Linked DNA regions of Rhinolophus ferrumequinum. The protein of the gene in region 2 binds, or shares a complex with, the protein of the main gene of each other region. Links are inferred from orthologs where the notes say so. Each region holds a gene or a part of one and is shown on either strand. Other genes may lie near its edges.

Evidence for each region. Proteins that work in one complex are often made in the same cells at the same time.
Region 1: the proteins of S1PR1 (region 2) and CD69 are in contact, whole or in part, in a cryo-EM structure (PDB 8G94), measured with the Homo sapiens proteins. The link is inferred for Rhinolophus ferrumequinum from reciprocal best matches to the Homo sapiens genes S1PR1 and CD69. Residues at the interface, in NP_001307659.1 of Homo sapiens: Asn157, Leu160, Phe161, Ile164, Ser165, Trp168, Val169, Leu172, Ile173, Gly176, Ile179, Met180, Gly181; in NP_001772.1 of Homo sapiens: Val41, Ala44, Val45, Val48, Val49, Thr52, Ile53, Ile56, Ile59, Ala60, Val63.

What each region holds. Positions count from the first base shown.
Region 1 is NC_046293.1:25,602,057-25,609,674, reverse strand, and holds the start of CD69 (early activation antigen CD69), read left to right. Parts: upstream 1-4,602; 5' UTR 4,603-4,671; coding exon 4,672-4,735; intron 4,736-7,618. UniProt on the Homo sapiens protein: Transmembrane protein expressed mainly on T-cells resident in mucosa that plays an essential role in immune cell homeostasis.
Region 2 is NC_046305.1:36,520,376-36,528,062, forward strand, and holds the start of S1PR1 (sphingosine 1-phosphate receptor 1), read left to right. Parts: upstream 1-4,669; 5' UTR 4,670-4,924; intron 4,925-5,378; 5' UTR 5,379-5,599; intron 5,600-7,130; 5' UTR 7,131-7,292; coding exon 7,293-7,687.

The DNA of each region.
Region 1 (7,618 bases), on a different chromosome or scaffold from region 2:
ACGTGTGTTTTATAAGAAGATTGAAAAGAGTTTATATGCACTGGTTTTGTTTCTTCAGTTCAATACATGTGTTTCTTTGCTTTAGAGAACTGAATCTATCAGGGCTGACCACACAAGAAGTTTGTTTCCATTTTTAGATGAATAAGGGACAATTGAAAAACCCTCTGACCCCAAAATCTCTCGTACACTGCCTCCTGACCCTCTACACTTTACTTTGTCCTATTTGCTGTATAATTTCACACGTAGAGATAGCTTCCTTTCATATAACAAACACTGATTAGTAATGTGAGCATATAAATTATTGTGACAGAAAGACACTCTTGCAAGTGAAATGACATGCTTTTAATAATTATATCAGGACAACGGGTGTCATCCAGGGCCGTGTTGGGCAACCCCTATTATTGTTCACAGCTTTACAGGAATTAAAGTTGACTGCTTCCCCAAATCTAAGGGAGGTTTCTTACACTTTGAAAAATGACTGTGGGAGAGAAGAGAGAATTAATGAACAATTTATTCATTTTGAAATAAAGTTTAGGCTATTGTAGAGGACTTGAACCACATGAGGGCCAGTGGATACCTAGTAGGCCTACTGATAACATATATTCCTGAGAATTTGACTGGTTTTTATGTTTGCAGTGTCTGCCTACTCCCAACTACACAAGTGCTGATTTCAACAAAATACTTTGGCTGCTCCCATAAAGACAGATAGAGAAAAATGATTTCAGAACAAAGGTAACAGATTTTGATCAATTTAATAATGTTTAAAGATATTTATTTTCTTACAGTAAGTTCTCTAGATATGTTTCTGTGCCCAATGGGTGCCAAGAAAATACACATTTTAAGAAAGGAAAAATAATGTATTAAAATTGTAATACTCCATATATACTGAGAACAAAAGATGGATACAAGTCATGTGTATACATTTTTTGGCACCTCCGGTATACATATATATATATATATATATATATATATATATATATATATATATATATATAATATTTATCCACCTGATTGGGGCTGAAGAAGCAAGAAAGCTTGAGCACATAAGCAAGTATCTTAATTTCATGAAAGCTGTCAGAGGTGGTTGTAGGAGACTGCAGCTTCTTCTGTCTGTCTGTATTCTAGGCAGACTAGAGCCATGCTGCACCATATCAGAAATTATGCTGTGGCTTCTCAGTTTTATCTCTTAGTGCCCTACATCAAATGAGGAACTTTCCCTTTTCATGACTTGTATCAAACTGCTATTTCTTTACATATCATTAGATATACCTAATATATACCAGTCACTGTGGTAGAAAACTAATTTTCTAATTTATAATGTTTTCTTCACCAAAAAAAGTATAAATTGGACACTAATAGTTTCATTTACAGATAAACCCAATGTTCCCTGGAGCTGTGTTAGTTTCCCAAAGCTCACAGTTAACAAATGCTTGAGTCGATATTCACATACATTGTGTCATGTATCCACCCAACAACTACTCGTTGAACTCCTATGTTCTAGTCCCTATTACAAGTACTAGAGATTCATTATTGAATAACATGGCCATACTCCTGCATTAAAGACCTTACTTTCTAGGTAGGGAAATAAATAATAATGATGATTTTTAAAAACACATATATATACCACATATATATATATTATATATATGTATAATATATATATGTGGTTTTAAATATATATATATATATGGTTTTAAAAATCATCATGTGTATGATGATTTTTATATATACACATGTATATATATACACACACATACATATCAATACAGATATATAAAATATATGAACTACAAGATTTCTAATGATGATATGTTCTATAAAGAATAGAGTGAGGTAATAAATTGTGACTAATAGGAAGTTTTATACAGGTGGAAAGTTCTGGTGAGGTGGAACATGTGAAGTGAATATAAACAAGAACAGTTAGCTATGAAAAATCAGTGCTCGCTTCGGCAGCATATATACTAAAATTGGAAAAATCTGAGAGCAGGGAGAACAAAAGCAAGAAAACACCCTATAAAATAAAAATAAGTTTAGCTTTGTCAAAGAATAGAATGAAGGTCAACATCGCTGGCCTATATAGGGAGTAGAGGGAAATTTGTGGGAGATGGTTATCTCTCTGTAAAAACTGTACTATTTTCATTAAGTTAACCTGCCTAACTTTTCTGGAATATTCAAACTTCAAAGCTAGTTTGTGTCCAGCTAAGAAAATTAATTTTCACACTTACATGGGAATCATCAGCGGGAAAAAGTACATGGTATAACTGGACCATGATTTCTATGTTAGCCCAATCAGCTGCTGAAAAGTCCTGCTTTGCATGTGGCAACAACACATGGTAAGGATTGTCAGTGTGTATAAGGATTATCTCTCTCTCTCTCTCTCTCTCTCTCTCTCTCTCTCTCTCTCTCTCTCTCTCTCACCTCCCCACCACTCCACCCCACCCCAAGACTTGGAAGATTTAAAAAAATGTTACAGATTTATAGCAGAGATATTATCTCATGCATTCTTCACAATACAGTGTGCAAAATTAGTGTCAGAGTGTGGATAAGAACCCAGATCTCCCAACTGTAGAAGGATAAATAAACACTTAAAAGATCTAAGTTGCTTTAACCCAAAGAAATTAGCAAAAGCATCAGCTATTCCGTTAAGTACTAAACTGAACTCCTTCAGCACTCATCAGCAGTACTCAAGTGTGCACTTGCTATCCAGTGACACTGCAAAGTCATATTTTCTGAACCCTACAATCCCACAAGCCTCTCCAAGTAACACTCTATATTTTGTAACTTTTATGTTTATATATATATATGTTCTTTCATTAATTCATATTTATTTATTTATTCACTCATTCAACAAGTTTGTACTGAGTATATGCTAAGTTCCAGTTATTACGTCAGGTGTTAGGGACAGATGGGACAAGTCAGAAAAAGGCCTTGCCCCCAAGCAGCTTATAGTTTCATAAGGAAAACAGATGACAAGCAATAATATAATGTCAGATATTGACAAGTGAGGTAAAAAAGGATAATAGTATGTGGAGACATAGAGTATGAGGTTCTATTTTACATATAAAAGGCAAGGGAAGACCTCTCTGGGCAGTGAGTTGAATTAAAGGGAGAGCAAGACATACAAGCAGATGAAGGAAGAACCTTTTAGAGAAAAGGCAAAGACCCTGTAGTGGGAGAATACTTGGCATTTTTGTCAGACAGCAAAGAAGTTACTGTTAGAGAGAGAAGCGGCCAATAGGAAAAATGGAAGGAGAGGTAGCCAGGGGCCAGATCATGGACCTCCTCAACTATAAGAAGGTTTGATAAGAAGCATTTGAGGATGGAAGGGGGAAGAGTTGAACATCTCACCAAAATGATTTCATTTAATTATAACAAAACTTTTAGCTGCTATTTGTAAAACATTCTAGGAAATTGACTGAAAAATAGAACGGAAGCAAAGAAAGCCTTTGGGACCAACATGTACCTCTTCATGTCTTAGGTAAACAAATAAATATGATGGCCTAACTAACTAATAACAAATGATAATTTACAATCCAGCTAAGCATAATATTTTCACAAAGGCTTTATTCTGAAAACAGAGTGTCTTTACTCTAAAGAAATCATCTTAATGATAAAATTTTCATACCAAGATTATTAACCAGAGTGACATTTTGATCCCCTCCTTAAATCATCGTACGTGGGTGTTCTACATTCACTTTGTGTTGAGCTTAATAACTGATCTGGATGATATTGACATGGCAATATATTTTTATAGTAATTATATACAAATGTCTTAAACTTCAGAGGTATAGTATAAAAAAATAATCCAGAAGATAGGGAAAAAACAGCAGAATAAGATACAACTGAGGGGAAATAAGAGTGATCTAAATGACAGTAAAGTATGAAAAAAATTAACAGGAGGTAAATGAAAGAGATAACTCAAGATAAACAATTTTAGAACATAGAAAGGAAGTTCCAGACCACAGGGTTTCTATTTCCTGCACTAAAGCAGCTACTTACCAAATGATACCTTAAAAAAAAGAACTGGTCCCCAGGGAAGAAGTGAATGACAAACTTCTGAAAGCCAATTTATAGCTTCCTAAGAAAACTCTTCCACACTGAAGAGAGATCCATGAGGATAGAGATCTTAAAATTTGTACTCAATGATAAATTATCTAGCCCCAAACGGTGTCAGGGTCATAGTGGATGCTCAATAAATATTAGTAAAATAAATGCAAGAATGGGATTCCAGGGAAATATTACTCTCCAAATTATTTCCATCTCAAAGATAAGAATCCCTAACTGTTAATTCTTTACTTAGATATGCTGTCTTCATAACTATGTTTTGTTTTCTACAAATTTAAGGAAGGATGTCACCGATTCGGGAAAATCCCATCTGTCTGTGCATACCACACCTACAGTTGTGAGAAAGCATATTTCAGACAGCAGGGAAAACCCATAGCTCACCACAACAACACATTGTAAATTGTCTGGGCCACTAGAGCATAAATTAAAGCGAACAGGAGTAGTTGAGTGATTGGAAGGCAAGAGGAAGGGGGTGGGGAAAACATAACTGACTATAAATGCTCAGATTCTTCAGAGGCTCAGACACTGAGCAAGAGCTCCAGCAAAGACTTTCATTGTAGATTGGCTTTACCTGAAATTAACCAGAGATTCTTGACTAGAATAAAGATGAATTCGGAAGATTGTTCCCTAACAGAGAACAGCTCCTTGCATCTGGAGAGAGGACAACAAAGTAAGTCAGATCTTATTTTTATGTACTGGTAATAACTACCTATCTAACTATACAGATGATATATAACAATACTTAGGGAAGAAAATGAGGCTTTGTCTTTTCAAGAACTTAGTTACATCCTATTTCAGTCAGGATAAAAGAGAAAATGATAAGAATTATATATTTCTTCATATATGAGAAGATATGATTCCAGAGAATAGAGGGAAACAGAAAGGAGAATTTTAGAAGATATTCAAAGATCTGTTTCTTTGTTTCCATTTATTCCTTCTCAATTTTTCAGATTTAACTAGAAAATTCCCTGTACTTGCACAGTACACTCTCCATCATTTTTCCATATCCAACTCCTCCAGGAAACATTGCCTCTCTTCACAAAAATTGTTTTCCACATAAACAATTACATTCTTGATTGCCTTCACCTTGTATCTTTGTGTGTTTCCTGTGTGCCTTATCTTACGTTCTCATGACAGCATTTTCCAGTTGCTATAAATGAAGGTTTCCAATCTTTGAGAAAGCAGCCATATGAGCATCTGAACATGTACAGCGTCCAACAATAATTTATCAGGAGAATGTCATGAAACAATTCTTGAAAATGACATTTTCTGCCTCTGTATTCTTACAGGACTCTTTAGTTCCATTTCATCCTTCTCTCTCACCTTTCCAATCACTGACTTCAAATTCTGCATAAATGAGACATTATTCTTTCTTTTATTTTTCATCAAAATATGATCATTTTAGCAATGCTATACTTTTTCCTCTCTTCTATTTGTCTATTCTATCCATAGACCTGTTCTATTTCTTATTACCAAAATTTTTCCATTGTTTTCCTTTAACTTGTTTCTGTGAGACTTCCTTGATTTTTTTCATTTATCCCTCTTCCTCTCTACTTATTGAGGTACCCCCAAACCTAGCATGTAGGAAGTGGAGTTTATTTGTAAGAAAGCTATACAGTATTAAAGGGATGTGTTATGAACAGCAGAGCTGAAACAATCTAGAGGAAGGCATTGTTTTTGAAGTATGTGTCTACGAGACTGCTTTGCATCAGAAAAGCTTCAATTACCTCCAATAAACCCATCTATAACTTAAGAACACAAAATCACTTGTGGATAACAAGTGCAAGCCACACAAATTTTTTGGTAATTAGGTAACCATAACTTTATGTCCCAGATGAGCTGCTAAAAAGAGCAACAATTATAATAATAAAACTACTCAATAAACAGAGGGCATAGTTGAAAGAAGAATGACCTAATTCAGGAATTCTTAACTTTTCTTTAGATCATCCCAATTTTGTATTGAATGCTTAGTTTATGCTGCCCTTGCTTCATTTGTATGGACAATCATTAGGCATCACCCTTTGGTAACTCAATATGTAAGGGTGGGTTTATTTCCAATTTCTCCATTAATGGACAAGGCCCATAATCAGAGCGGAAGTATACTGTTGGGGGAGTGTTTTGTCACCTAGGTGATAAATCAAACTGAGTAACAATAGCCCTCACTAATGGATATAAAATATAATCTGAGAATCATCCCCACAGTTTACCCATTGGATAATGGGCAATGTCAGCCAACAAATTGACGTAGGCTTTGGAGTACATGAGGTATTTGTATGAGTTAGTACTGGCTCAGGAATGAGAGCTGCATTGAGTCTAAGCAGCATGAGGAGAAGTGAAACTAGATAAAGAGCTCCGAACTTGCTACCCTATCTACCAAGGTCTGTTTCTGGTGACAATTGTATACCAGTGAAAAAGGGAAGATTAGTTTTGAGAAGCTGAAAGAAATAGAACTACGTGGGAGGGAAGTAAAGGCATCTCTTGGGAAATCTAAATGCAGATCTACGCGAGGAAAGACAATTCCCAGAAGAAGCAAAAGCTGATGCTGAGATCCAGTACATGGTAAATTACTATGAAAGAAAGCAACATCTCTTTGCTCAGTTTAACTTTAGAGAAGTGTTTTAAGGCAAAAAATACATGCGTTTCAAGATACATGCTTTTAATTATGAAAGTCATCCATACTGAAAGACAAGATATTTTTGCATTGTGAGGCTTTTTTATGGTAAATCTTAATATCATTCAAGTAGCAATTTTGCATTTCATTTTTAGAGAACACAATTGAGAACTCTATATTTCTTGTGCGGCAAATTGTAAAAATCCTGATAGCTCATCCTAACAAAAACTGAAATTCAAACTCTGAGTCGCAAAATCCCCTTCTCTCCTTTCTCAATTATTTATTTATATTCTAAAACAGATATTCTTCCAGTTTTTGTGTGTGTGACTAAGATTCGTGATTCACATTATATTCATATTCTAAATCCTTCTATAAAAATATTTCTTATTGGTGAAATCAAAGTCTTACTTTGTTTCAACATTATACAGAGGATAAATGAAACTTCCACCCAATATTTGGTTTATAATATTGTTATGTTTCTTCTATTATTTTAGCTTCTCTTCAAAAATTCAAATATTTTATCCATTTACATATCATTTTTAATTGAGGTAGAATTTCCATACAAGGGATGCATAGATTCCAAATGTAATTTAATGAGTTACAACTGCAACTTCAATCAATATTTGAAATTTTCATCACTCTAGAAAGTTCCCCTGTTCCTTTCCACTCAAACTACCCTTGCTACACACATAAAACAATCACTTTTCTGATTTCTGTCACCATAGTTTAGTACAACTATTCTTGAATGTCAAATAAATTGAAATATACAGTGTATAACTGTAGTTGGATATTTTACAATCAACTTTTTTTTTTTTTTTTTTGGTTACTGAGTAGAATTTCCTTGTGTGGATATAGCATAATGTGTTTATCCATTTTTCCTGCTGATGGTCATTTGGGTTATTTCTAGGAATTGGCTCTTAAAAATAAAGCTGCTATGAACCT
Region 2 (7,687 bases):
CATGTCACATATTGCTTCTGGTATAAGGCAATTTCTGTCAAATAAAAACATTATGGTGTGTTCTCATCCACCTTATTCATCAGATCTTGCACTGTGCTACTTCTGGCTGTTCCCCAAAGTCAAAATGACCATGAAAGGTAAATGTTTTGAATTGATTCAGGACATCAAGGCAGCCATGACAGTGCAACTAAAGACACTCACAAAAGAGGACTTCCAAAACTCCTTCAGAAAGCGGCAAGAATAATGCAATAAGTGTGTTCAGAGTAGGGAGGCAGGGTATTTTGAGAGGGATTATGGCAATGTGTCTTTTACTGTAATAATTTTTTTAAAGTTGAACATTCACCGTATTATTTGATCACATCTCGTAATTTCAGATGATTTCCCACACTGTAAAGGGTCAGTGTGTGTATGAGGGAGCTTGGAAAATCAATACATATCATTGTATAATCCTGGAACACTATGGGGAAAGAAAATTCTAAAAATGTTCAGAAAAGAAAAAAGTAGTCATATGTAAAGTTTTGGAATCAGAAGAGCTTTAGGCTTTGTATCAGTAGCACCAGAAATTAAAGGAAAAAGGAGCACTGTCTTCAAAATTCCCCAAGAAAATTATAAAGTATAACTCTATATTCAGCCAAAATATGAGTCAAGTGTAAACAGTGAGTTTTTAAAATGTCAGACATGCAAAGATTTAGAAAGTTTATAATACAAGCATGTTTTTTTTAAGGATAAGTGAATTAATACTCTTTCCACATGGCAGAAAATCTATAGATGCTGTTTAAAATTGATAATCAAGAAACAGAGGTATAAAACAGGGGATTTTAAGATTTTCAAGTAACCACCAGAAGAAACATCAATAAGACTTCAAAGTACTTGGGAGAATTAGAGGACCAGGGGGCCTCTGAGGATTGACTCATGTTCTTTCTTGCAAGTTTTATACTACTTGATTTTTAAACCATGTGCATGTAACAATTTGATTAAAATAATTTTATTTGAAAATCAAAATGGGAGTGAAGGGAAACTGAGGCATTGAAAGCAATGAGTATAATAGAGTTAGAGATAGAGGTAGGGGGAGAGTGAAGCATTTACTCTATGCTGTACAGGGTTTGTTATACATATGAAGCTCTTTATTCCTCCCAATGACTGAAAGAGAGAAATATCATTATACCATTTTAGAGATGAGGGAACTAAGGCTCAAGGAAGTTCAAAGAACTTGCTGAAAGTCACGCTGGGAATTGGCAGTATTAAGGCTGAACCCAAGTCGGACACGTTCCACTATGTAGTTTTGAATGTTGGCAAACAGGAGAAGAGAGAGAGATTTATATTGGCACCTAGTACAAGGGGAAGACAGCGAGTTTTTGACAGAGGAAATGCAAAGATAGTAACATAAGTTGAAGGTAAAGAGTCACAAGAGGCCAAGAATTGAAAATACAAGAGAGAGGAGGAATAATTGAGCTGAGCCTTAGAAAGTTTGTGGGGAGGAGCATGGTGATATGTACAAGAGTTCGCCCTGGGAAGGAGTAAAACTGTGGAAGGAGGTAAGAGTGGGTGACATTTTTAAGCTAGAAGTTGGAGAGGAGGGAAATTGAAGTGGTGATAATGGTTTTTCTGCGAAGTAGGAGGCTAGTTATTCTCCTGTGAATAAATGAGTAAGGGGAGCATTGGCTCTTTACAGGGGGTTGCGGGGAGGAGAGGAAGTTGGAACATTACTAGAGCATTTAGGAAAAAGAGCAGCGTTACCAGATTTAGCAAATAAAAATACAGCTCACGCAGTTAAATTTAAATTGCAGATAAACAACAAATGTGTATATATAGACATATATATAGACATATATATAGATATATATATATATAGACATATATATATCTCCAAAAAAAAATGTATACACATCTTAAGAAAGGAAAATGGTACTAAAATTGTAACACTCAATATATACCAATAACAAAAGATGAATACAAGTCATGTTTGACATCTGCAATTACAAGAGTTTCTCAAAGTGGTTACCATCAGCACTTCTGATTATGGTAAACTACTGCTTGAGCAACATTGACAAAAGTGTCTACTTGCAAACATTTTTTTGGCACCCTCAGTATGTATGCATATTAGTATAAGTCCCAAATATTGTATGGTATTTTCTCTGGCAACGCTTAGAGAAACATCAAAGCAAGCAAAGAACAATGTGCAAAGACACCAAAGAATAGCAAATCTGCTTTGCAATCAGAAATTTGGAATGGAGCAACCTCAGTGTCACTGCATAATCAAATAGTAATCTCAATACCATAGGAAATAAGCTAGAAACGTTGGGCTTGGCTTCCAGGCAACCGTGGACAGGGAGCTAGGCTAGCAGCCAGGAGATAACTTGAGGATGCAATTCTTAGGGCCACTCCTGCAAGTAATGGGAAGAAATGTGTGGGACCCCGTGGTTTGGAATTGGCAGGGAAACCATCTCTGCAAATAGCTTTGCCTCCTTTCTAATTTTGCCTGAGTGGTCATCTACACTTTATATCTCCTAGGTGTGTACTAAGGACGCGTGTTACTAAATAATCATCTACAAAGTATTTGAGCTCTTTGAAACATTGGATCAATCTTAAATGTTGTTCTCCCCAACCGTATTCATAAGAAAAGGACTGACTTAGCTGATGTAGTTCTTTGACATGTTTGAGGTTTAACGTGGTGGTTTGGAGTAGTGGTTAAGAATCTGTAGCCCATTTATGGTCATAGCCCATATTAACCAAGATGCTTAATATGTCTGGGACTCAGTTTCCTTGTTTGTAAAATTAGGGTAAGAATAATACTTAACTTATAAGGTTATTATAATGATTAAATGAGTAAATATGTGTAACACTTAGAATCTAGTACACATATATTAGAAGTACACTCTTACATTAAATATTATAGGTAGATAATGAGAGGTTTTATAAAAATTCACTAGTCTACCTTTGTATACACTTTATATACATACGAGTATATAGTCAAGAAATCAGTGGTTTTAAAAAGGCATTCATGGGGGTGGGATAGATAAGTAGGCAGAACACAGAGGATTTTTAGGGCAGTGAAAATATTTTGCATGATATCATAATGCTGGATACATGTCATTATACATTTGTCCAAATCCATAGAATGTACAACCCCAATAATGAACCCTAAGGTAAACTATGGACTTTGGGTGATAATGATGTGGTAATGTAGGTTCATCAATTGCAATAAATGTACCCCTCTAATAAGTGATGTTGATAAGGGGGAGACTACGCATGTGTGGAGGCACAAGATATACGGGAAACCTCTGTACCTTTCCAGTCAATTTTATTGTAAACCTAAAGCTTCTCTAAAAAAAAAAAAATAATAAAGTCTTAATAATAAAAAAGGTGATCAAAATTAAAATAACATTTAGTAAAACATTTCAGCAAAGAGAAAATGCTTCATGGTAAATAAAAAAGGACATTCATTAGTATACTTTTGTTGCAAGTTTTACAAGCAAGTGTTTTGTATCAGGAAATAAGTGGTTTTTAAAAGGACATTCATTAGCATATCTTTGTATACATTTTGTAGACATATATTGTCAAGAAATTAGTACAAATTTAAAACTGTAAAGCTAGAGGTTTGTTTCCCTTCAGGAACATAGCTTTCAATTCCCTGTTTATTGACTGAAGGAGTGTGACCTGGGAGTCCTGGCATCCGCAGTAGTTAAGGTTTGGAACCCTGCTCTGCCACTCACTAGCTAGGATATCTAGCTAAGCTGTCTGAGTGACATTTCCCTTAATCAATAAAATGACCTACAATGGCTACTTCAGAATAGTAGTGTTAAATTAGATCATCTATCTGCCGCCTGATATAGTCTGGGTATGCAATTCACTTTCATTCCTTTCCCTTTAAAGAACTCATAAAATTAGTGGATGGGGTGGAGTTTGACAAGTCCCACGGGGTGTGTTGTGCTGGGTTGACGCAACATATCTCCCCTTGCAAATGAATTAAATCCTCAAACCCAATCAGAATTCAGCCTAGAGTCTGTGATCTTTGTTTGTATGCACGGGCTAGTTGCATGCACTTTTGTTGTATTTGTGGGTATGTGCTGGGTCGTTGATGAGGGCTTTCAGACAGCTGTGAATTAACTGACACTTGATTTTTTCTTTTGCAAACTCATAAGATCCCAGAAGTCTGGGGTCTGTTTATTCACGCAGACTCCTTCTGAGTCATTCAGATACAGGGTGTGTGTCAATTGAAACTGCACAACGAAGTTTTGCGTTCACATCTGCAAGGGATAGGAAGCCAAGGTACTAGGTGGAAACGTCTTTGCCCATTAAGGCAGGGCAGAAGTGCTTTGAGCTTGTCACTGGAGGGGAGCTGACCAAGGCCACCTCTCATTCTCACATTCCGAAGTAGCATCTAAGCGAAAGGAAAGAGTGGGCGAGTTTTGAGCATGAAGGTTTGGGGGCGCCTCCCTAATAAAGGGGAAAAAAGGCTCACGCCCCAGCTGGGCTGGGCCCTGTGGCTCTTCCCCTTTGGAACTTCCTGAGCTGCACAAGGTTTCAAAAATCTCTCAGGACCCAGCAACTGTCCACCTCCTCAAAGGCCTCTCACCACTGGCTAGAATCTGGGGCAACTGCCTGACTTGGCGCCCAGTCGAGGGAGGAGAACACCCGCCCAACACATCTCCCGGCACCGGTCCATTTCACCGTGCCCTCGGGGAAAGCCACTTTCTGTCCCTCAGATCGCAAGTTTCCAGGCTGCAGCGGCATGGGGGTGGGCGTGGAGGTGGGGAGCAGTGGAGGAACCTCTCCGGCTATTCTCCCACTGTGGCTGCTTGCCTCGCGCAAACCTCCTGCAGCCCCTTCTCAGCCTTTTCCTCAGAGAAAGGCAGGGCTCCTGTTTCCCCTGCCTGAGCAGAAGTGGCCCCGGGCCGCCTGATTCCCCAAGGGGACCAGGGAGGTGCGCTGCGAGACGCTGGGCAGTCCTCTGGCCCCTAGGACTTTTCGGGAGAAAGTTTTCTAAAGGCTCTCCAAGTCTTCTCTTTCCCAAGGCTGGAGAGAGTGGTGTCCACCGCCCGGAGCGGCGGACAGCTGGGCGCCCGCCCTGATTTATACATTAGAGTCCAGGGGGCACCCGGCTACTCTGTCTCTCTGTCTCTCTGATTCTCTGTCTCTCGGTCTCTGTCTCTGTCTCTGTCTCTGTCTCTGTCTCTGTCTCTCTCTCTCTCTGTCTGTCTCTCTCCTCCCCCCTTCTCTCTTTTTTTGTTGCTTGGGGGTGGGGAGGGGTTCTTTTATTTGTTTCTGCCCCAGATCTTTCCTGGACAGTCTCAGCAGTGGAGATTCGGGGGCCCCCAGCCGCAGGCGGAGGGCGTGGGAGTTTGAAGCATTTAACCTCTTCCCGCCTCTTCTTAAAGAAGCCACCCAGCGTCAGCGGGCGCTCTGCGACTTCAGCTGGCGGGCCGGCGCGCGCCGCAGCGAGCGGGGCTGGCCAATGGAGTTGCGGCTGCGGAGGGAGGGGACCCCGACTGCAGTAAGTTTAGAGAGCGACACTGTCAGGCACCGGCAGCAGCAAGATGACGAGCGCTCAGTGCAGACCCGGAGCTCGTCGAACGCAACTTCGTCCCGCCTGAGCGAGGTAGGGGACGCGGGCTGGGGCGCCGTGCGGCCGCAGGGCTTCAGTGTCCGAAAGGAATTGTTAAACCGGAACGAAACAAAACAAAAACTTTTAAAACATCCATTTCTGGGCGCTGAAAACTTGCGTCTCTGGGCTACTAAGGAACCCAGCGCGGTGGGATTGCTCTTGGGCACTTGTGATTTATGAAGTTTGGGAAAAGGTCAAGTCCCAATTGTAGAATCGACTGGGGGTGGACGATAGTGGAAGCTGCGCTTGGTTGGAGTGGAGGGAGGGAAGGCGCTTATTTTTGGAAATCCTACAGACAAAGAATATGGGACGGGGGTGTTAGGGCTTAAATTTGCACTGCCGGCGAGCAGGGTGTGGAATTAGATGGGGAAACAGGGGAGCTTCTGGTCGTGAGCAGCCGCTGCTGTTCCAGGAATTGGTGGGATCGCTCTCGCCTTTATTACTCCACTTTTATTCCATTGCTGCATTACTTTGAAAGACTTAAACAACGTACAAATAGACTTCTGCCAACCAGGGCCACGTTGCATTCGGTGCACACTGTCTAGAAGAGGCAACGTGTTGGGGGAGGGCAGTAAATTCACCAGTTGTCCTTTTATGTGAGTTTCTGCAGAGTAGTTTTGCCCTTGCATTAGGAATGTAGTGACAGGTATTGTTATCGTAAGTGGTGTAACTTCTCTTTTTGTGTTGGCTATACCCACAGCAACTAAAAATACTCCTTATGCAATCCAGGAGTATAGGAGAACTTCTGGGATTTATTGCAATATCTCATTAATGGTTTTCACTGGGTACCTTGATGTGTTCTTGCACTGGCTTGCAAGAAAAAGAAGAAGAAAGAAAAGGCTGTTGCTTTCCGGAGGCGCTAACTTTTCTTGTTTACCACAAGGCCAGGGAGGGTTTGGCTGCTCACACCACGCTGCACCCTCGGACCCTAACCGCACCTGCTTCCAGAGTTATTAATAGAGCCCCAAAATGACTTAATGCCGTCAATGATTTTCGTGACAATCTAATTTCTTGCTAGGCAGTTAAGTGGGTCTGGTCTCATTCAGCTGGGTGGTGGCGGTGGGGCAGAGGTGTGTGGCTTCACCCTTGTATTGGCATTTGGGTCTCCTCCACAGAGCCGCCACCACCCCCTCCACGTTGAGGAGCTGAATGCTTCTGAGACTCTCCCGCTGCAAACTTGTCGGGGTGGGGATAGGGGGGCAGTGACAAGGTGGGAGTGGGGTTCAATGGGGCTCGCCCCTCCACTTTTCTCATTTCCATTTGAGTGGACTTAACCATAGGGAAAGTTTTCATCTTGTCGAGTTGGAGTTTCAGTTTGGATAAAATTTCTGTGTTTTTTTTTTTTCCCTTTCTTCCCCTTCCTTTTTTTTTTTTTGGCAAGAAATAAGAATTTGATTGTTTTTTTAAATCCCTCTCCCCACGTTTCCTTAAAACAAATCAACAAAACTGAGGCAATGCCTTAGCTAGAATGAATTGTGCAAGTGTGTCGTGGCTTTTCCCTGACTCTCTCTGTAACTTGTTTAAGGCTGCGGTTTCCGAGGCCCTCTCCAGCCAAGAAAAAGATACGCGAAAAGCCTGGATTTCTCTCATTGAATCACCCCTGATAGCAAGCGAAGGCTCTCTCCGCGTCGCCCTCTAGCGTTCGCTGGAGAAGCGGCACCTCCGGTTCCCGGAGACACTGCGCACCATGGGGTCCACCAGCATCCCGCTGGTCAAGACCCTCCGCAGCTCTGTCTCCGACTATGTCAATTATGACATCATCATCCGGCATTACAACTACACGGGAAAGCTGAATATAGGTGCAGACAAGGAGAACGGCATTAAAGTGACTTCAGCGGTGTTCATTCTCATCTGCTGCTTTATCATCCTAGAGAATATCTTTGTCTTGCTGACCATTTGGAAAACCAAGAAATTCCACCGACCCATGTACTATTTTATTGGCAACCTGGCCCTCTCAGACCTGTTGGCAGGAGTGGCCTACACAGTCAACCTGCTTTTCTCTGGGGCCAACACCTACAAGCTCACCCCCGCCCAGTGGTTTCTGCGGGAAGGGAGTATGTTTGTGGCCCTGTCTGCCTCTGT